4 linked regions of the Drosophila melanogaster genome follow. The protein of the gene in region 3 binds, or shares a complex with, the protein of the main gene of each other region. Each region holds a gene or a part of one and is shown on either strand. Other genes may lie near its edges.

The links.
Region 1: Mgtor (region 3) and Nup58 share a complex: the UniProt entries of both Drosophila melanogaster proteins name them as parts of the nuclear pore complex.
Region 2: Mgtor (region 3) and xmas share a complex: the UniProt entries of both Drosophila melanogaster proteins name them as parts of the nuclear pore complex.
Region 4: Mgtor (region 3) and Nup93-1 share a complex: the UniProt entries of both Drosophila melanogaster proteins name them as parts of the nuclear pore complex.

What each region holds. Positions count from the first base shown.
Region 1 is NT_033777.3:19,642,895-19,647,807, reverse strand, and holds Nup58 (nucleoporin 58kD), read right to left. Parts: upstream 2,783-4,913; 5' UTR 2,644-2,782; coding exon 1,720-2,643; intron 1,659-1,719; coding exon 942-1,658; 3' UTR 902-941; downstream 1-901. Other genes in the region: CG6195 (uncharacterized protein), read left to right, coding at 1-595, 677-838; Vha13 (vacuolar H[+] ATPase 13kD subunit), read left to right, coding at 3,521-3,602, 3,970-4,070, 4,130-4,300. UniProt on the Drosophila melanogaster protein: Component of the nuclear pore complex, a complex required for the trafficking across the nuclear membrane. Together with Nup54, required for transposable element silencing regulation in ovarian follicle cells.
Region 2 is NC_004354.4:17,155,726-17,161,223, reverse strand, and holds the start of xmas (xmas), read left to right. Parts: upstream 1-1,917; 5' UTR 1,918-2,009; coding exon 2,010-2,053; intron 2,054-2,117; coding exon 2,118-3,651; intron 3,652-3,711; coding exon 3,712-5,498. UniProt on the Drosophila melanogaster protein: Involved in mRNA export and mRNA coupled transcription activation.
Region 3 is NT_033778.4:11,850,689-11,855,911, forward strand, and holds the start of Mgtor (megator), read left to right. Parts: upstream 1-1,928; 5' UTR 1,929-2,067; coding exon 2,068-2,218; intron 2,219-2,659; coding exon 2,660-5,223. Other genes in the region: Sln (silnoon), read left to right, coding at 1-394, 471-597, 659-1,040. UniProt on the Drosophila melanogaster protein: Component of the nuclear pore complex (NPC), a complex required for the trafficking across the nuclear envelope. Functions as a scaffolding element in the nuclear phase of the NPC.
Region 4 is NC_004354.4:13,820,615-13,826,706, reverse strand, and holds Nup93-1 (nucleoporin 93kD-1), read right to left. Parts: upstream 3,882-6,092; 5' UTR 3,781-3,881; coding exon 3,620-3,780; intron 3,557-3,619; coding exon 3,376-3,556; intron 3,297-3,375; coding exon 2,493-3,296; intron 2,420-2,492; coding exon 1,791-2,419; intron 1,707-1,790; coding exon 1,010-1,706; 3' UTR 797-1,009; downstream 1-796. Other genes in the region: jub (ajuba LIM protein), read left to right, coding at 1-237; Clic (chloride intracellular channel), read left to right, coding at 4,699-4,782. UniProt on the Drosophila melanogaster protein: Required for nuclear pore complex assembly, maintenance and function. Required for nuclear import of phosphorylated Mad via importin msk. Has no role in classical nuclear localization signal (cNLS)-dependent nuclear import via importin-beta.

The sequences.
Region 1 (4,913 bases), on a different chromosome or scaffold from region 3:
GCTGGATCTGCCCGGAATCATCGAGGGCGCTGCCCAGGGCAAGGGGCGTGGTCGTCAGGTCATTGCCGTAGCCCGCACCGCTGATTTGGTGCTGATGATGCTGGACGCCACCAAGCCCAACGTTCACCGGGAGCTGCTCGAGCGAGAGCTGGAGAGCGTGGGCATTCGTCTGAACAAGCGCAAGCCCAACATCTACTTCAAGCAGAAGAAGGGCGGCGGCCTGAGCTTCAACGCCACCTGTTCCCTTACGCGCTGCAACGAGAAAATGGTCCAGACCATCCTGCACTCCTTCAAGATCTTCAACGCCGAGGTGCTCTTCCGCGAAGACTGCACCGAGGACGAGTTCATCGACGTGGTCACCGCCAACCGTGTGTATCTGCCCTGTCTGTATGTCTACAACAAGATCGATCAGATCTCCATCGAGGAGGTGGACCGCTTGGCGCGCCAGCCAAACTCGATAGTGGTTAGTTGCAACATGAAACTTAATCTGGACTACATGATGGAGGCGCTCTGGGAAGCTCTCCAGCTCATCAGAGTGTACACAAAGAAGCCAGGCGCTCCTCCAGACTTTGACGATGGATTGATTCTGAGAAAGGCAAGAGACTGTTTTCCATTCATCCAATTCCTTCTTCAGCCTGGTAAAGCAACTCTAATTCCTTATATATTCCTTGTTTAGGGCGTCAGTGTGGAGCATGTGTGCCATGCCATCCATCGCACGCTGGCGGCGCAGTTCAAGTATGCCCTGGTGTGGGGCACCTCCACGAAATACTCGCCGCAGCGCGTGGGGATTGCCCATGTGATGGCCGACGAGGACGTCATCCAGGTGGTGAAGAAATAAAGATTGTTGCGTGTGAAATATATATTCTATGCTATAACTGAAAGTGAAAGTCTAGGCCCCTTTCGACATAACGATTTATTGAAACTTGTAAAGAGTGCCATTCTCAATTGCCTGTCGCATTGCTGGCGGAACTGGCCGCCGCTGCATAGGACTTGTTCATCAGAGCCGAGATGTTGGAGAAGGGCGTTGGACCGCTACTAATCCGTTGAGGTTCCACCGTCGGCAGCGGAGGATTGTCAATCCGCTCGAAAACGTTGGTGGTGTCTCGCAGGCGGTAGCGTCTGAGGTTTAGGTAGTGCTCCTTGTGCTCCTCCACCCGCTGATGCACCTCGTGGAGGCGTCCCGCCAGCGAGATGAAACTCTCATTAAGTTGGCGAAAGCCACGCTTTAGATCATCCGGCGAAATACTCTGCGGATTCGAGATCGCGTGCATGTGGCGCTCGGTCAGAGCGATCTGCTGGCGAAAGGCGATCAAATCCTGCTCGTACTTCGCCACCAGGCACTGAAAGTACTGGAACGGAGCATTGTTCTCGAACTGCAGGCCGGCTGGGGTGTCCTGCGTGCGTTGGGCCATCTCCAGAGATTGAATCGCCTTGACGGTCTCTTGGCGCATCAGGCGGATCTGCTGATTGCTGCCCTCAACTAAAGTGGCCATATTCTGCAGCGCCCATTTCAAGTTCGTGATCTCGTGGCTGACATTCGTGAATTTGGAGGTGGATGTCCGTCCAATGTCAGAGGAGATGGTCTTCTGCTGTTTGATATACGCTTTTAGGCCATCCACCGTTTTTATTATCTCGTCGGGCACTTGGGTTTCCTTAATCTGGAGTGGTCGAAAATAAAATGATTATTTTGTTTCTCTGTGAAAGACTCATGGTCAGCACCTTGATGCCATCTTGCTTATTGTCCCCCAGCTTTGGTTGCGTGGCGGTCACATCGATCCCCCCCAGACCCACGAAAGTCGATGCTGCCGGGGCAGCTGCCTGACCCGCTGGCTTGCTAAAGATTCCTCCTCCTCCTAGGGTTGTCGTCGCATTGGTGGTTCCCAGTTTCAGACCCGTGTTGAAGGGTTGTGCCGTCGCCGTCGTCGTGGTTGTGTTAAAGTTCAAGCTGGCCGCCGTGGTGGCCTGTGGCTTGGGGAAGGAAAACGATCCAATTCCGGAGCTGAGGGATGCTGGCATCGCAGCTGCCGCCGTTGTGGCGGTGGTGCCGAATCCAAAGGCCGGCGGCGCGGTGGTCGGCGCACTTGTGGCCGGGGTGGCAAAGGAGAAAGTGGGAGCCACAGTGCCCACGGCTGGTGCAGGTGCTCCGAAGGCCGATGCTTGCGTGGAAGCTGGCGCTCCAAACGCCGTTGTGGCTGCTGGTGCTCCAAAGGCGGATGTAGCGGCGGGTGCTCCAAAAGCGGGCGTGGCGGCGGGTGCTCCGAAAGCGGGAGTGGCAGCTGCAGCTCCAAAAGCGGGCGTAGCAGCTGGAGCTCCAAAAGCCGACGTTGCTGCTGGTATGCCAAAAGCGGGCGTGGCAGCAGCCGTTCCAAAAGCCGGCGCCGCAGTGGAAGTGGCGCCAAAACCAGGCGTGGACGCAGGTGCTCCAAAAGCCGGCGTAGCAGCTGGTGCCCCAAAGGCCGGTGTGGCCGCGGGAGCTGCAAACAAGGAGGTGGTGGCCGGAGCAGCACCGAAGGTTGGCGTAGAGGTGGCTGCTCCAAAGGATGGAGGCGGAGCAGTCGTCGTCGCCGGTCGCGCGCCAAAAGCAAAAGCGCCGGTAGCAGCAGTGGCGCCTCCAATGGCGTTGTTCGTGGTGGGCGTAAACATCTTTAGGCACCCCTCTTAAGGATTTATACAGGAATTTTAAACAATTAAACTATATTTACTGCAACAAATTTCGAAATTAATTTTGTTTAATGCCTGAGCATCTGTGGTTTAACTTCTAGGACAGAGATGACACTATCGGTGATATCGATAGCTAGTCAGCAGAGATTTATTCGGAAAAATATCAACAAAGTATTCAAATTGATTGAAATAAATACACTATGGCTAAAGATATATAAAGTATTTGCAGCTTCATATAGTTACGATTTGTGATTTTCAAATATTTAATTTTGGTCTGAGGTGTGGTGAGTTCGGTCCACTACAACATGGTTGTTATTTAATATCAAACGATAGCCTTCAGATATTAATATGAATAAATTATTTCAAAATTTAATCTTTATGTATTTCAATTTTAAAATAATATAAAGAATTTTTTACGAACTAATTTCTTACAATAGCTTTAAATACAGCCGGAACTATTACAGTGCGAAGCAGATTAAACGCTGCATTTAAATTAAAATGAATTAAAGTTTACAAAATTATAAAAGAAAAATATTCATGATGGGAATAAATGAGAAAGTTAATGCTTACAAAAACGTCAAATTATTTAATACTTCTGGCCAATACAATACCAAACAATAATATACAACTAAGCTAATCGATATGCAATCGACCGAGCCATCTCCAAGAGTTTCGCAGCACCCAGCTTTCCGGCACACTGCTTACCCACACCAACTAGCCACCGTGGTGAGTTTGCGTGTGTGTGACTTCGTCATATGACATTTTTCACAGTTCGTCGTCGATTGTGATTCTGTCGCACTTGCTTTTTTCGACTTGCACAGTATACACCACGGCGAGGAATTAGAGAAGTTTGGAAATTATGGCCAGCCAGACGCAGGGAATCCAGCAGTTGCTCGCTGCCGAGAAAAAGGCAGCCGAGAAGGTCGCCGAGGCTCGTAAACGTAAGTTTCATTTTCAGAAACAAAAATCCAATTGGAAATGGCAGGGCGACAAGTAACTGCGATTTTTTCACCACCCCGCCCCCGTGCTACCATAACCACCATCACCGTTGTGTGTGGGTCACATGATGTGGTGGAAAAAAGTAAATACAAGTCAATCCTCCATAACTCGAGATATAAATCAAATTAAACTAAATTAAATTAAATTAAATTAAATTAAAATTGTTTGTGGCCACTAAGACTGCAACTTAAGTGCAGTAAATAGTTTTTGTGCGAGTTGGCACTTTAAGTTATGGAAGGTCATCTTGCGGAGGGCTGATTTGCCAAGTTGAACTGATATGATCATCTGGATTTCTGGGTAATCCCGCAGGCAAGGCAAGGAGGTTGAAGCAAGCCAAGGACGAGGCTACCGAGGAGATCGAGAAGTTCCGCCAGGAGCGCGAGCGCGCCTTCAAGGAGTTCGAGGCCAAGGTAAGACGCCACATAGGGAAACTTATGTACATGTAATACCGTGTGAACCCCGATTACAGCACATGGGCAGTCGCGAGGGCGTGGCGGCCAAGATCGATGCGGATATCCGCGTTAAGCTGGCCGACATGGACCGGGCCATCCAGACCCGCAAGGACCCGTTCATCCTGGAGATCCTGCAGTACGTGTACAACATCTCGCCCGAGGTGCACAAAAACTACAACCACAAGTAAAGAGGTGGCCCCCCAAACTGTGCGCTGTAAATTCAATGTCCACGTTCAACTCTAATCCATAATTTAGACCCGTAATAATAGTGGTTAATCTAACTGGAAACACTGCTGTATTATTATTCCATACATTAAAGTGAAAATTCGTTGTTGTTCCATGTAGAAAAAAGCGAGCATATTAGTTTGCCTCCCACTCGCGCGGGATTGTATTATCATTGTTTTGTGTTCTGCCCAATACACGTTGTTGTTTTATCCGAAAAGTCATGTGTTTCAATTGTTTTCCTCACTTTCTTCCTGCTCGCATTTTTCATATCTGCACTGCAGTCAGCTGCTGCGTGATAAGATTTTTGCGGCGAGTTCATTTCATCGGTGCTCAACACTGGCGATGGCGATAGTCACGCCTCTGGGTGCTTAAAAAATTCAATTTTAAGATTAATCCGCTTAATTATATAGTGTATAGACTCGGCATAAAATAAAATGTACAATGTAAAGCAATTTTATGTTTTCTCTTTTAATGGATTGTTGTCTCAGGCAATCGTCTAACAACCAAATGGTTTCCCTAAGTAGTACGATTGACATATGCTTGGAAATTGATTACCGTTGTACTCTAACCAACACA
Region 2 (5,498 bases), on a different chromosome or scaffold from region 3:
CTATATCATATATATCAGGTATATCCCCTTACCTTGCCGGCCGCCTTGATGTAGCGTCGCGTGGCCTCCTTGACGAGATCGCGGACGAGGAGTTCGCCGGAACCACAGGGAACCAGAATGCGAACGTCGCCGAAGCAGACGGTGACCTTCATTTCGTACTTTTCGTGTTAACAATAACTATTATCGTCTTCGATCTGCGATAATAAGTATGTATTTTTGACTGCTGCAATGCACTTTTTATTTTGCACACACATATATGCACTTGATTAAATTGGGCGATCGTTTCTTTAACTTATTTTTTTCTCGAATTTTTCGGATTTTTTCCTATTACTATTTTGTATGCAGCTACTTTTTTTTAACGCTATGCTCGTCTGCCTGCAGCAGCTTTTTGTTGTTCTTGTTGCTGTTGTTGTTACGACCGCATCATCATCATCGTCGTCGCTTTCCAGCTATCGCCATCCTTGTTGCTCCTTTCGCGTGCACAGTGCGCTTGTTGTTGCTGTATTGTTGGTTGTTAGGCAGCTGCAACAAAAGTTGGTCTAGGGCGGCATGGGTGCGAGCGAGATGGCTGCGTGCCTGGAAAAAGGATCGGGATCGCTTTCCAGTATGTACTTGTAGTCGCTCTCGCGCGCTCTCCCTCTCTGTCGCTCTCTGGAAACTGGAACTCTCTTTTGCTATTTACTTAGCATATTTCACCGTAAGGCATCGTTGTTATTGTTTGTTTTGTTGTGTTTGTGTGATTCATACACGCGCGCATTAAAAAAAACGAGTTACAACAACGGCAACCATAATAACAAGAACAACAAACAGCGGGCCAAGATCATTTATTTACTTCTTTTTTTAACGTTCTTCGCTCTCGCTCGCAAACTTGGCATTTGTTTTGGTCAAATTATTATATATTATGCGCTGTAGATTGCATGGTTTTAAATTTACGGTTCGATCATCGTTTTTATATCTTTTCTGTTACTCTCTTTTAACGTTGCTTTTGTCGTGTTTTTCGTTTTCGGTTATCTCCTTTTTCGCCCGTTGGCGTCGCTTCTTTCTTGTTGTTTATCACTTTCAACTATTCATATTTCGATTGCAAGTGGAATAGTATCGTTGACCGCCACTCTTATTAACGAACTATTTGAACTCAAAAAAATGCAAAAAAAATCCACGAGCAGCGCGTTGATTACTGCGCTTCGAGTTCGAATTCGCCCTGGCGAGCAACAACAAATGACCAAAATTCTGGGGATGGCAGGCTCATCGATACTATCGGAACAGCAGCTTGGCTTCTTCGCGGTATTTGGTTATACTTTACTGGGCGGTCACACTACTGCTCGTTATCTCCCGCTTATTTTAAAATCAGGGATTGGGCTAAATGCCATCTAATTCTGCAATAAGTTTTATTGAATTTGCATTGCTTTATATAAGTCAGCCTATTAAATAGAGATATTGATTAAGAGGTAATTAATCGTCTTAAAATATTAAAGTGTAAAGATGAAAATATTTCTTATGTAAGCTATGTATAAATATAAAATACTAGGAACAACCAATTTCGATAGGATTAATTGTATAGTCCTAAGAACGACAGATAGTGTTATCAAGATCGAGGAGTTTGAATCGAGAGCTTAAAAGAGAATAAAAAGAACTTAAAAAGATTGCTACACCTATATATATATTCATATATATATAAGATAATATAAGAAGATGTTCGATTTCATTCAACAGTTTAAGGAACGCCCCAAGCATTTCCTAATTTCCTAAGAATATATGTTTACCAACTCCTGTTAACATTTTATTTATTAGGCAAATACATTCATCTCGAATGTAAAACATTAAAATTTTCAATTAAACCTGAACGATATTGTGTGGGTGGGATAGCCATTGCGGTATTTTTTTCGCGCCATTTTCAGATTTGCGTTATCGATTACCGGCAATCGCTTGACGGCAATATTGTAACAACAAAGCACACATTCGCTCTCATTCAGCTAAAAAAGAAACTAAAAACCTTAAACTATATTCGATCGATGGCAGAACCCCGTCCCGGCGGCTACAACTACAAGACATTATTGTGAGTAAAAGTTCGTTCATCAAAGGCAGAGCGATGTCAACTATAGTTCCATACGAATCCCCAGATGCAGAAACATTCCGGAGCTATTTTTGGACAAATATGTGGCGCGTTCGCACTTTGGACGTTTTGGAACCCTCGTAAACTTCGTCCTGCGTCCGCGGCGAATGACCTGCACCGTAAGCTATGCCAGCGAGGACGAGGCGGCGCGGGCGCTTCTCGATGGCGCCAGCTTTCAGGGTCACCTGTTTGATATATCCTATGCTGATAACGAGACGGCGCCGGCACAGAAAACGGAGGAGTGGGTGGATCCTGACATTCAGGCGGAGTTGAGTGCACTGCAGTCGGGCTGGCGCAATGAGTATGGGTCGGGCAAGCCGATAAAAAAACCACAAAATGGCAGCAGTGGTAGCGGTGGCAGTTCAATGCTGCCTGCCATACCAGTTGGGCCCGCAACGGCGCCGGTGAGCAGAGATCGTACGCCTGCCCAGCTCAGGGATCTTGAGAACATGATGCGCAGACCCGCCCATACAAGCGAGGAGAAGTTCAGCGTGCTGGATGCCCGCGATAAGCTGCTCCGGTTGAACCGAACGCAACACAAGCTGTCCGGTGCCACCCAGGGTCACTGCGCCGATATGTGTCCGGAAAAGGAGCGCGTGCTGAGAGAATTCCAGCGCCAGGTAGCCTACTATGAACTACAACCGGGCTCCGATGAGCTAATCTGTCACGAAAGAGCCCTGAAGCAGTACTCGCGCAGCAGTGCCGACCAGGAGACGCCACTGCCGCATGAACTGCGCAATGAGACTGCCCTGCACATGACCATGAGCTATCTAATGCATGAGATCATGGACATTAGCGAGCGCCAGGATCCGCAAAGCCATATGGGCGATTGGTTCCACTTCGTTTGGGATCGCACGAGGTCCATCCGAAAGGAGATCACCCAGCAGGAGCTATGCTCTCTGGGCGCTGTGAAGCTGGTGGAGCAGTGCGCCCGGTTTCACATTCATTGCGCCGCCCGTCTGGTTGACGCCGATCCCAGCGTCTTTGACAGCAAGATCAACGCCGAGAATCTAACCAAATGCCTGCAGACTCTGAAGTACATGTACCATGACCTGCGGATTAAGGGCGTTCCATGTCCCAAAGAGGCGGAATTCCGGGGCTACATTGTGTTGCTCAATCTGGCCGATGCCAACTTTCTCTGGGACATCGGTCAGCTGCCCGCGGAACTGCAGAGTTGTCCCGAAGTGCGTCAAGCCATTCAGTTCTACTTGGCCCTGCAGGACACGAATTTTGTGCGGTTCTTTCAGCTGCTGGCTGACAAGGATACCAGCTACCTGAGTGCCTGCATCCTAGTCAATTACTTTACGCGACTGCGCGTGCTGGGGTTGCATCGTCTGATCCAGGCGTATAGGTCTCCGCGGAAGGATGAGGTGTCTTCGCTGCCTCTCAGCTACATCGCCGAGCTGCTGAGCTTTGCCAGCGAACAGGAGGCGGCGGATTTTGTCCAACACTATGGCCTGCAGATCAACGAGGCGGGCAGAGTTGTGCTAAGCAGAATGCACACGGTGGAGACGGAGTACAAGCTGCCGCGACAGTATGAGGTAAGTAAATGGTTTTCTTTTTTTTGTTTTATTAATTTGATTTTTATTATCCACTTCCAGTTGGTGGAAGTGAAACGCGTGAAGAGCGTGGGCGAAGTCGTCAGTGGGGAACCTTTACCACCACGAGACCTCTACCTCAATCACCGACCGCACAATAGCTTCGACGATTATGGAATGCTTAAGAGCATTGCATGGACGGCCAAGGATCAGCTGGCTGGCATGCAGCAAGAGGAGATGCAGCCACAAATGCCTTCGCAGCCACCAGCAGTCTCAAAACATAGCGATACTTTGTTTAAGGTGCCCATGCAACCCGACGGAACGGCAGCAGGGTTTGGAGTATTTGCTGCGGCTGCTGTTCCGCCAGCCTCCTCCATCGATGGATTCAGTTTTGTTCTTCCCAAATCACGTGCTCAGGAGTTCCAGGAACAAGCTCCGGCTACACAGCAGCGACGGGCACAAGAAGAGGCCAAGCATCAGGCCCTCCAAGTAGCCATTGCCGCTGCAAAGAAGCGGGAAGCTGAGCTAATGGCTATTCACGAGGCCAAAGTGGCCGAGGCTGAGCGAGTGCGTCAGCAGAAACTCAGGGAACGCCAGGAGCAGCAGCGTCGCCAGCAGCAGGAACTGGAGGAACAACGCCAGCGGGAGCAGGAGAAACTTCAGCTGGAAAAAGAGAGGCAACTGAAACTGGAACAGTTGTTTTTTGTGCAGCAGCAGGAAAGGGAGGCCCACAAACAGACCAGGACTTTGGAGTTGTATCAGGAAATATTCCAGGACACCCTCGCGGAGATTTGCCAAAGCGAGTTTATGTCGCATAGTCGGGCTTGCCGTTCCTACGAATCCATGCTGGACTCAATAACACGCGATCTCGTCGAGCGGCAGATGGAGCAATCCATCTACGAACTAGGCGTCATGAGGGTGTGCATCAGACGATGGCGGAAATATCGGCGAACGCAACAGGAGAAGGACACGCTATTTAACCAACTGCCTTTAAGTTTTGGAGCCGAAAACCCCGAAGGAGTGGTGAACAAACGAAGCATGGAAGATTCACTGCGTCTAAGCAGACGCTATCGACTTGGCGAGCCCTGCGATTATGGCAAACTTCTGGCTGGCCTGGAGGAGCATAGTTGGCTGAAACTGGATCTGTGGCACGTTTTGGACAAGTGTCTGCCGGTAGCGCAACCAGGAGCTAGACGCTTCTACAAGCTATTGATAAGCCTGTCCGGCGGCCAGGAGGGTCTCCAGTTGAACTGCGATTTGGATAGGGGACTACTGCAGCAGCCACAGTCGCCGGATGCTCGTTTTGTGGATGGAGGCTACATCAGAGGCTTCTCTCAGGGTATTGGCTTGAGTGTGATGAAGATCCGAGATGATGACCACGACTGGAAAGCCACCGACCTGGCCGAAGCCAATGGTATTATTTGCTTAATCGGGCTGGATGACATTCGTTTACTGCCGGATCGCTTGAAACCATTGCTGCAAGCAAGCCGCTGTCATGATGTGGCTGTAATTGTTCAGCATCCAGCTAATACCGCCTTTGTTCAACCTGATATTCCTCTCCAGGAACTATGTCTGCGCTCATTTAACATCTTTCGTTTGCGAAAATCTGGAAACAACCGCCAGCGCTTAATGATTGCACTGGAATCGGCTGTAAAGTTTTTGGCCAAAGCCACGGAAAGGAAACGTGTTGGACATCTTCACCAAGTGGAGACCCGCGAGTATTTGCTCGTTAATCTGGGATCGGAACTATTTCGCCGCCTAAAATACGCCGCTGAGCACGATACGGCCATTAGAAGCGACACTCAGCTGAATCCACAGCGTTGTGTGGACCTTTTTAACGAGGCAGTGCA
Region 3 (5,223 bases):
GAGGTGATATCCAAGATACAAGCCCACTTGGAGAAGCCTCTTTCGCCGCCGAGTGTGGTCAGTCGCGGACTCAGCAAGAGCATGGAGATACCCACTCCGGTTAGCAACCTCAGTGATCTCAAGCAGCAGCCGGTGGAGCAGGCGGAGCTCGGCATTCTAGACTCCCAGCTGGTGGAGTCCATTATCGATGGCGACGGCCACCTTGCCGCCGATGAGGATGACGATGACGACGAAGAGCGGGGACCACGCACTTGCTGCGAGCGCATCGAGATGTACCTGGACATCAGTCTGCTGCAGGACCCGAGCTTTATCCTGATGTGCCTATCCGTCACCTTGATGTCCGTCGGCTGTCCCTACATGTTGTACTATCTGCCCGCCCACGTTATTTCAATAGGTATACTATTTAAAATGTTCAAAGTATATTCTTTCGGCGTACGATTTTAAATATTATAAACTTGGTTCATCTTTAGGATACAATAAAAGTGAGGCGGGATACCTGGTGGCCATCAGCGCGGTCCTAGATTTAATTGGGCGCCTTGGACTTGGCTGGCTGTGCGACCTGCAGCTATTCGATCGCAAGAAGACCTACACCTTGTGGTGAGTACCAGATAAGGTTTATTTTTCGATCCAAACTAATCACATTTCCCTATATCGACAGCATTTTGGGCGCCGGATGTGCCGTGCTCACAATTCCCTTCGCCAAGACTCTGGTTTTGGTGGGTCTATCGGCCGCTGTCTACGGACTTTGCCTGGGTAGCTGGTATGTACTTATGCCGGTCCTCCTTGCGGACGTCTTTGGCACGGACAGGATCAGCTCGAGCTACGGGCTGGTGAGGATGTTCCAGAGCATCGGGGCCATATCGGTGCCTCCGCTGGCAGGACTGATGCGAGACCTTTCCGGAGACTACGAGATATGCTTCTACTGCATGGGATCCTGCATGGTGCTCGGGACCACTCCGCTGATTGTGTGGTCCATCCTGGAGGCCCGCAACCATCGGTTGTTTGTTCAGCGCGAGGAGGAGGAGTGCGAGGAGGCCTAGAAATGATTCGGATTCGTTGGTTGCCCCATATGTTAATAGTGTTTTAGTAGCGATCAAATACTAGTTGAGTTCCTGAGTTTCAGAGTTCGAATGCCTCACCGATATTGCTGATTCTACCAGTTACTATTACTACTATCCGTACGTTCTCATCCGTATCTTTGTATCTTAATCAATCCCCATGCCCACCCGCACCCAATCGCTTGTTATCCTTCCGTTGAGCAACAGCAAAAGGATGTGTAAGATGATGATATTCAAACGAAGAAACCAAACAACCTAAACAACCAACAACTGAGCACCAAATGTTGCGCAAAAAGAACTGAGTTTAAAAGACATGAACTACAAATACCCGTATATAACTTTATAATATGATAACTACGATCAATGCCCGACTAGATGGTTATATAGGCCGACTATAGTTGTAGGTTCGCACATCCATATCGGAAAGGACTAAACTTTGTGCAGGAAAAATTAAGTGGCTTTAGACAGAAGGGAGGCTTGAATGGAGAACATCACATTACATTACCCTAGAATTAAAATAGTTGTTGTGAGACATTTACCCATAAAGACAATTACCAAATAAACACGAAATCAAAAGGTTAATCGCGTTTTATGGAATTAAAGGGAATGATTTCGCTTGGTTTGGGTTTTGCATTCGTTTATGTTATTAAATAAAGTCCTTTCTTTTTTTATTCGTAATAAAAACGGATTTTTCAACCACGTTTAAAAAATTTTTTTTATGAATGAATTTATCTCTTTTTAAAGAAAAACATTTTGTTTTATTAGGCTGTGAATAGGCTGTTATAACGCTGTTGAAACAGTGAGAATAATATACTCGAATCGATAGTACCGAAAAATATCGATATTGTTCCATCTCCACTGCATTGACGTTCATTTTTTCGCGTCCCTAAAGCGACTTTGTGCACAATTCGCAAAAAATTAAGACTAAAGTAAAGTAAAAAGTAAGAAAGTAAACTTCGCACCGCTCCATATAAATTTAACCGCTGCTTGACAAGGATCAACTGCGAACATGGATCTCAGTGGTCCACAAACTCTGAACAACATACTTCAGCCCGACGAGTTGAAACTCGTGCCGGAAGACGTCCAGAAGAAATTGTCGGAGTACATCAACAATTTCTCAGATGAGTACTGCAAGAACCGTGCGGCCGCCAATCGGTTGGGTAAGTTTTTATATTTGTATATATACTAAAATGCGCCATATTTTGCAAATAACCCTTTATTTGCATGCGTATGCTTTTACCTCCAACTTTGCGGCGTTTACCGGCTCAGATACCGCTTCTTGTAATAAGCAATCCGCGACTGTATGGTTTCTAGCGTGGTAAACACTCTTGCGCCATTTACATATTTTTTGTATAGAAATTTAAATATAAAATTCCGGGTTGTTGCAATTAAAAACAATGGCTGCTTGCAGCAACATTATTTTCCTTATTAATTTTCACCTCACCGGTGTGGTAACACTGGCCGGACATTTTCCCACCAAAACAGTTGATTAGTCCGAGTTTGAAATCTTCAGGGAATTTCTGTGTATTCATTTTAATCCAAATACTTTGTGGTTACTTAAATCCAGTTAAGAAGATTATTTATTTTTGCCCTTTTCACAGCCGAAGCCGAGCAAAAAAAGGAAGAGCTGGAGAACAAAATGGAGGACTATCTAGTAAAATTTACCAGCTTTGAGTTAAATGTAAACGAGCTGCGCACTCATCTAGATCAGATGTCTTCGGAACGAGTTAACCTAATGGACACGATCGCCAAAGGCGAGCAAACTATATCACAGTTGCGCAAGGAAAAGGCGTCGGTAGTTGAAGAACGCGATTCGATGATGAAGGTAATCGAGCGCCAACAAGCGGAGCTGGAACGATTGAAGCAGGATCTGCACACCTACCAGCAGCAGCTGAGCAGCGCGATTGCTGCCAAGTGCGAAGCCATTGCTCGCGTGGACGAAATTCAAAGTAAGGAAGTGGCTCTGGAGCTCAAAGAGAACCGCATGGAAAGCGAACGCGATATGCTGCACAAGGAGATTTTGTTAATCAGCGGAGATCTGAACAAAAGCAACGCCGAGTTACAGAACATCCGACGGGAGCACACAATAAACACCATGCAGCTACAGTCTTGCCTTAAAGAAAAGACCGAATCGCTAAAGCTGATGCAGGAACAGTACGAACAGGCCGTCAAGACCATCGGGGAACTAACCAGCAAGATTGAAATGCAAAACGACACCGCCTTCAAGCAGAACCAGGCCACGGAAGAGTATGTGGGGAAGCTGAAAAAGGAACTTGATGCCAAAGAGAAGCTTTTTGAAATCTTTAAGAGCACCGAATCCGATCATCTGATCCAACGGGAGGAACTCCTACAGGGCATCTCCGAAATTAAACGTTTGTTAGAGGAGGCCGAAGAGCAGTGCGCCCAGTTGACGGAGCAAATGGAAACCATGAAGCAAAAGCACAGCGCTGAGTTGGACGAGCAAAATAAGAAGATTCAGGCTATGGAACAGGAGCTAGCAAGTGCCAACGATTTGCTAAAACAGGCCCGGGAAAGTAATTTGGAAAGCGCCATATGCCAGTTGGCTCCCAGTGCGGCTGTGGCTAGTCGCCTTATCCGCTCCGATCTATCGCTTACCGAACTTTACTCCATGTACGCCAAAAGCAGCGAAGAACTGGAGATGCGAAACTGCGAAATTGAGCAGTTGAAGTTGCAGCTCAAGTCGATCATTGCTGAGATTTCAGAGAGTGCACCGATTTTGGAAAAACAGAACTCCGATTACCAAAAAATGAAGGAAACTAACAGTGAGCTCCTGCGGGAGCATGATGAATTATTACAAAATAAGCTATGCCTTGAGCGGGAATTGGAAAGGGCCTTATCTACCCTTAATCACAACCAAAATGAGAATAAGAAACTAAAACAGACACACACCGATCTCAGCCGACAGGTGTGCATGTTGCTGGACGAATTGAACTGCATAAGGGCTGGAGTGAAACATGTACGTATCCAACCAACTCGTCAGCTACCCACCAGCGAAAGTTTGATCAGCGATAACTTGGTAACCTTTAGTTCTATTGAAGAGTTGGTGGATAGAAATACATACCTCCTGAATATGTCCCGCGAGCTCACAGAACTTTTGGAGGCTAGCGAAAAGAACCAAGATAAGATGTTGCTGGAGCAGTCTAAGAATCACATAAGAAAACTGGATGCGCGTTTTGCCGAATTGGAGGATTTATTAACGCAAAAGAACAATACGGTTACTACACTACTATCCAAGTGCGACCGCTACAAGAAGTTATATTTCGCGGCTCAGAAGAAGCTCGGTCAAAATACTGTGGATCTGGACGACTCCAATCTGGAGCCTAACGACTCTGCACTGGATACTTCAGAGCAGCCGGCAGCCAATTTTGAGGAGAGCAGGAAACTGGAAAAGAGGGTGCGACAGCTGGAGCAACAGTTGGAAGGGGAGGTCAAGAAGTATGCCTCACTGAAAGAGAACTACGACTATTACACTAGCGAAAAGCGTAAAAACGATGCACTGGCCCAAGAACAGTTCGATTCTATGCGTAAGGAGGTGCGGGAGCTAACCAGCAGTAACTGCAAGCTTATGAACACCACCGAATTCCAGAAAGAGCAAATCGAACTACTTCACAAAAATATAGGCACCTACAAGCAGCAGGTGACTACATTGGAAGAGCGTACCAAGAACTATGAAAAGACCATTATTAAACACGAGCAAACCGTACATTTGCTCAAGGACGAAATGATGGCGGCACACCGCAAGCACGCAGCAGCCGATGCAGAGGCTCAAAGCCTTCGCCAAGAGAACCGCATTCTAAGGGACACATCTTCTAGACTGCAGATCGAAAAGGAGACTTATCACCGCGAGCAGCAGAGCCAATCACTGCTTCTAAACAGTTTGGAATTCATAAAGACCAACCTTGAGCGATCTGAGATGGAGGGTCGCCAGCGTTTAGAGCAGCGTTTAGATGACACTGTACGGGAACTGGCTGCTCAGCGTCGTCACTTCCAGGAGGAGGAGGAGAAGTTCCGTGAATCAATTAACGAGTTTAAGCGACAGGCGGAGACGGCCATCAAGTTGAAAGATGAAGAAAAGCAGCTGGCAGACAAGTGGCAAGCGGAGCTTACCAGCGTTCGCGAAGAACTTGCTGAGAAGGTCAACAAG
Region 4 (6,092 bases), on a different chromosome or scaffold from region 3:
GTCGAGGGCACCGACGAAACTGTGCGCGTCGTCTCGATGGACAAGGACTTCCACGTGGACTGCTACATCTGCGAGGAGTGCGGCATGCAGCTGACCGATGAGCCGGACAAACGCTGTTACCCGCTGGACGGGCGCCTGCTCTGCCGCGGTTGCCACCTGCAACGTCTGGCGCTGCAATCCTCGCCACACGCTCGTCATCAGGAGCCCGTCTGCGCTTCGTACCAGTATATGGGATAAGCGGAACGGAGTGTGGCTGGGAGAGGCGGCGCGGCGCAGACCGACCTTCCGACCTTCGACTGAGTGGCGCACAAAACCAGAACAAACTATCGCAATCAACTTATTCCAATTAACAATATTATCTTAAATAGACAGAAGTGAAAACAAATGCATTTATACGAAACGAGGGCCAAGCTAATGGCTTTTTTTTTTCTTCATTTTTATGGCAGTGTACTAGGATCTCGAAACGGATCTGTTAGAAACTATGTAATGGATTCCTAAAATCTCCGACAGTTGGCAGCCATTGTTGGCAATACTATTTTGATACAAGTATATTGATGTGTTCTTCATATGTATGTCCTGGGGTGTTCCTGAGACCTCTTGAGGTTTCAATGCAATAGCAAACGGTGTCTCAAATTATGCAATAAAATACTTAATACTTCTTATCTGAAAGTCTTTTGTGGATATTCCAGTGGGTTAGTGGCTTGTTGTGATACATACCATACATTCGGTTATTAAGTAGCGAAAATGCAAAATTTTAATTGTTTGCCTAAACCGTGAGTAATTAACATATACGTGTGACATTTTGAATTTTGTTTAGTTTTCTTATAACACATACATACAAAATATTTTCTTTTAAATTTTTCGAATGCTTAATGCTTTAAATGCGTTGCGCTTAACAGAAAAATTCCAATAAAATTATTGGAAAGAAAAAAATATAATCATCAATAAAATTTTAAACGAACTGAATGAAATGCATATAAACGATAACTAGGTATTAATCTGGCTAATGTTAGTGCATAAGGATCTCCAGCTGGACGAGCCGCTGGTTGGTGGTCGATGGCATTCGGTATGGAACGCTGGCAGCCATGTTGGTGAATGCCTTGGCCCTGTCTCGCAAATGTTTCACGGCGGGCTCCTTATTGACGCACTTGCTTTCATCAAAGAAACCGGAAGCTGTTTCATTCGAGTCCATTAGCTTCACATACTCCTGGTATACAATGTCCATGGACGCCAGCAGGATATCGGGCAGCACTTTAATGACCTCGGGACCCATCCGCTTTATGTTCGTCACACACTCGTCCACTTCCAATGAGCTGGCGGGTATCAGATGATTGTTGGTCAGGATTTCTAATGCCGAACGCAATGCGCCTTCGTGATAGTGGTCAAAGAACTTCATGACCTTTGTCAGCACCGTATATGTGACAACAACTTGAACCTCTACGTCCGATTTACGCACGACCAGCGCCGCATCTAGTCGATTGATAATATCGCCCAGCCGGTTACGCACGCTTCCATTCTGCGTTGGTTGGTGGACCACCTGTGCCAGTAGCGAGTTCACCAAACGCAGTGCCTTGTCCAGCTGGCCACCAATAAAGTAGAGCTCGATGGCCAATTCGTAGTCGCCGCGTTTCGACAACTCATCGCCCACCATTTCGGCCAGAGAGTACTTATCGCATTCATGAATTTGAAATTCCGCATATATGCCGCTAAATAAAGGGGAATGAATAAACCATTAGCTATTTGCCAAAAGGATTTTGAAATCTTTTAAGAGTACCAAAAACGTAACATACCCATAGCGCAAGCCGTTTTTCTTATCCTCCGTCCCGAAAATCAGCTCTAGCATTTCGTCGTCGCATTTCTCAACTAGCAGATCGCAGACGCAGGTGAGCATCACGTTGCCGCGTCCGTTCTCGGATTTAAAGTTGCGCAACAGGTAATAGTAATGCAGCGCCTGCGTGGTGTCCGTTCTCTCAAAGCACTTGGTGTACATGACGATCAGACGCACAAGATTGAGTCGTTTCATTGGTTTTGGGTCGTCAGGGTCGGAGCTCAGAAGGGATTGTTCCACGGAACGTGGTGTTCCCAGCATGGATATCTCGTTTAGGGCAATGGCCATGTGGATAGCGTGCGTTCGATTTTTCTCGGTGCGGGCGAGGAATTCAATGGCGGCCTCAAATTGGCCGGTAAGCGTCAGCACCTGGAAGTATAGCGCCGCCTTCTCGCGCGCATTGAAGTAGTTCTCGCCGTACTTTTCTAAAATGAGCGATTGCAGGCCGCTGAACGTTAGCTGCTCCGTGTTGCTGTCGCTTTGGTCCGACCTGCGCAGAATGGACAGTTGCATCCACAGGAAGTCGTCGATGCTGCGCATTAGTTCTACGTGAGTGAAGTGCGGATCACACGCCAACAATACGACGTATACCTAATGGAAAAGAGAAAAACATATGATTAGCACGAATATACGCAACAAGTTGTAGCAAAAGATGAGCACTCACCGCCTTTTTGTAGGGATCCGTACAGGCGCGCAGTCTACTGTTGTACTCCAACTTTAGCTGACCCTCAAGCTTTACCATCAAGTTGTCCCTATCGCCGTTCTTTCGCAACGTCAATAGCGTAAGCAGGTCGGGGCAGGTTCCCGATTCCTTGAGATACAACGCAGCCGCGTCCATATCGCCACTCCGCAAGCTATAGTAAACATGTGGCCACAATGGCTGGCCATTGTTCACGTCATGCAGCCCGTAGAGGGCTCGCTGCCCCTGGAGAGTAACGCCCACATAGGAGCGGACCATATGGTACACGCTGGGGATTCCTCCCCGCCGCGCTTTGGCCAAATTCGCGACGATAAACTTTCTCATATACGTCCTATATCTGCGCTCCAAGTACGTGCGGGCCTGCTCAACGAATTGCGGTGATGTCTGACGATTCTTGATTGGATCGATGGTGCTCGAGACTGGCGGCAACGCGGTCATAAACTGCAATACATTCCACATCTCGGCTACGGACTCATCGTTGAAGGAGTCTTGGACCACGTGGGCAAGGGTCGACAGCAAGTTAGGGCGTCTGCCCAGGATGATCGACTGGTTGTGGATGGCGATCTGTTCAGCGTACATCTGCTCATGGCCATTCAGTTGGGAGTACGGAGTGGGCTCATCAGCCATGGCCGTGGGCACTATCTGAAACTGGACGTCGGGGAAGTCCTGTTGGTTTGGTCCGACCAGAGCGTTTAGCAGCGCTTCCTTCTCCTCGCCCCACTCCGAGTAGATGCAACGCCACTTCTGTCGCTCCACAGATTTAAATATCTGCAATGGATTGGTTAATGGAGATAGAAAGTTCAGAATTTTGGGTGTCTGCCTGAAGCATGTCATTTGGCGCACTCACACTGCGATTCGTCTCATCGATAACTGAGAGTATGGCGTTCTCCCGCTCGTTCTTCAGATAGGCCTGCACATTGGTCTCCGTCACCGGATCAATCGGCTCGAAGGTTTGGCGGGCGCTGAGCGACTCCAGCTTCTGTGTAAGCTTGGGCAGGTCCACGCCCTTAGAGCCGAGCAGTATGTGGCTGCATTTGAATGACCGGTTAATATGACAATTTTTGGCGCCTGGCCTATAGCGAACTACTCACGCCTGCAGATCATTGGTGCCCATTTGGGTGACACGCGAGTGAAACTCCTTGGTTGCCTGCAGAACCTGGGACATGGTCCGTTCCACGCCCGGCACCTCCGTGTCCGTATTGGTCTCGTTCGTCAGGCGCTGGGCCTGCTTCAGCAGTTCCATCAGATCCATGTCGTGATATTGGGATGGAAAAGCCGGTGCCAATAAAATGATATTTCCAACGAAGCGCACACCAAGCTGCTAGTGCTGCCACCTGGTCGCAGTCCGGATTATTTCGGCGCCATAAAATGTTTGCAATCGGTGGTATTCTTTTTGGTATATTTAATAGTACAACTGTTATATGTTAGAATAACTATAATAATGTCTACAGATGGTATATAATTTAAAAGGAATATTTGATAATTAAAATCATTAAATTGAAAAATTTATATAGATAGCAGACTAAGAAATTATTTCTCAATACCTAAAAGTTGTTATAAAAACAAAGAAAATAGTCGATTTCCCCGAACGCGAAATTTCAAAATTTTTATGGAATATCGATATATTGGGGAATAAATTGAGAACAAATGGGAGTTTTGTAGGTATAAGGTATTTTTGGTATTACGCAATCTGTTATTGAAATGTCCCAATAACAACTGTTATTGAGAGGGAGTTGTAAGTACAACTTTAAAAACATTTGGTATTAGCTTGGTATTTATAGGCCGGCCGAAAGGCAGGACCGTCTGGTAACACTGAACAGCAGGCGTTAGTGTATTTCGCGCAGTGCAGATTGGTTTATTCAGCGGCTAACCAATTCAATCGTGAATAGACTTTAGCAGCGCGCAAATCGTAGAACAGAACGGCATATTTTTTTTAAACACTGCGAGGCGAGCTTCTTCTTCCCTCCGTCTCTCTGTGTGTGTGTGAGTGTGCTGCCTGTGTGTGTTACAGCTTGTGTACGTGAGTGTGTGTATTGGCAAAGGAAATTAGCACAACAAAAGCGAAAAGGAAACGAACACGCACGCACCTCGTCACGCGGATAAAGAAAAAAACTCTTCGATCTGATCAGAGATATCGAGAATAAACGATAAAAATAATAACAATATCGCAATGTCGGAAGTTGAATCGCAGCAGAGCCAGGAGACGAACGGCAGCAGTAAATTCGATGTGCCCGAGATAGAATTGATCATAAAGGTGAGCGAACAGCGACATTTGCATACCCCTGCAGTTTTCCATTTCGCTCTGCGCAAATTTCCGTGCAGAGTGAAAATGCAGCCGGGGCAAAAGCAGAAGCAAATGCAAACAAAGGCAAAAACAAGAAGCGACTGGGAAAACGCGAACTGCCGTTTGTTTCTCCTCCTCCTCCCTCTTTTCGGCTTCTTACCCCTGTTCGTTCTTCGTTGTCTTCTTCTTCTTCTTCTCACTGTGGCACTTTGCAGTGTGTCACATTTGGTTAAAACGAACAGAATACGTTTAGCACACACCGCCCCCTCCCCTCTCGCCGACGTTCCCCTTTCGCCTTGCGGTTCCTAAGCATCGCCAAAACCGGTTTTCTCCTTTTCTCCCTATCGCACATTCACACACACATACACACACACATACACACACACGCACGCACACTATCGCATACACATGCATTCGGGCACATCTGCACAGAACGAAATTGTTGATTGAGTTATGATTTTCAGAACTCCATGATTACCATTATAAAGCATCCAAATTAAATATTACAGCATACCTTTTTGGTGCAATACTCTAAAGCCGCCCTTTTTCCAAATTATCCGAGCATACCAAGCTGTTCATATGAAATATCTTTTTAATATTTTATAATTAACAATTAATCATGATATTGCTGTGTGCGCACAGTCTGAAATTTGTGGAACGTAACATATTACTTCGGTTCTTATCTGCTAAAAAATTTAATCACATTTCATTGCGCCAATTGCTCAACAAATGCTCCTTCATCATAGTTCTCCTAAGCCCCCCGCATCGCCCCCCTTCGCAACCATCAGCATGTTTCTCTCTGTGTGTGTGTGTGTGAATTAGAGGTTCTTTTTTATCTTTTAGTGATTTCTAAATTTCTTGACACATACGTCATGCTCCTCCAAAGAATCGAAGAAAACAAAAAGCTAGCACTCCGCACATTTGCGGTCAAGATAATAGCATTGAGAAGCCAAGATTCCTAAAGTGTGATTAATTAAATGAATTTAAATCATAGAACTTAACTTTAGATTGCTCAATATGTAGTGTTTTATTTCTTTATGTATTACAAATAATCGATAATAAAAACTTGTTCGATTTTTTCTCCTCGAATACAACGCTTTTCTTATCAGTTCTGTTCTTCGATAGTGGAAAAAAAAACATGTGATAAAACAATTGTTCATTGGCATCTTTCTTAAAGGTGATATTATTGCAAAATGAGTCAAAGAAAGATTACGAACCCTTTGGTTTTTTTTTTTGTATTATAGTAGAGGCCGCAATCTATTTCTTTCCCCGGAATTGTA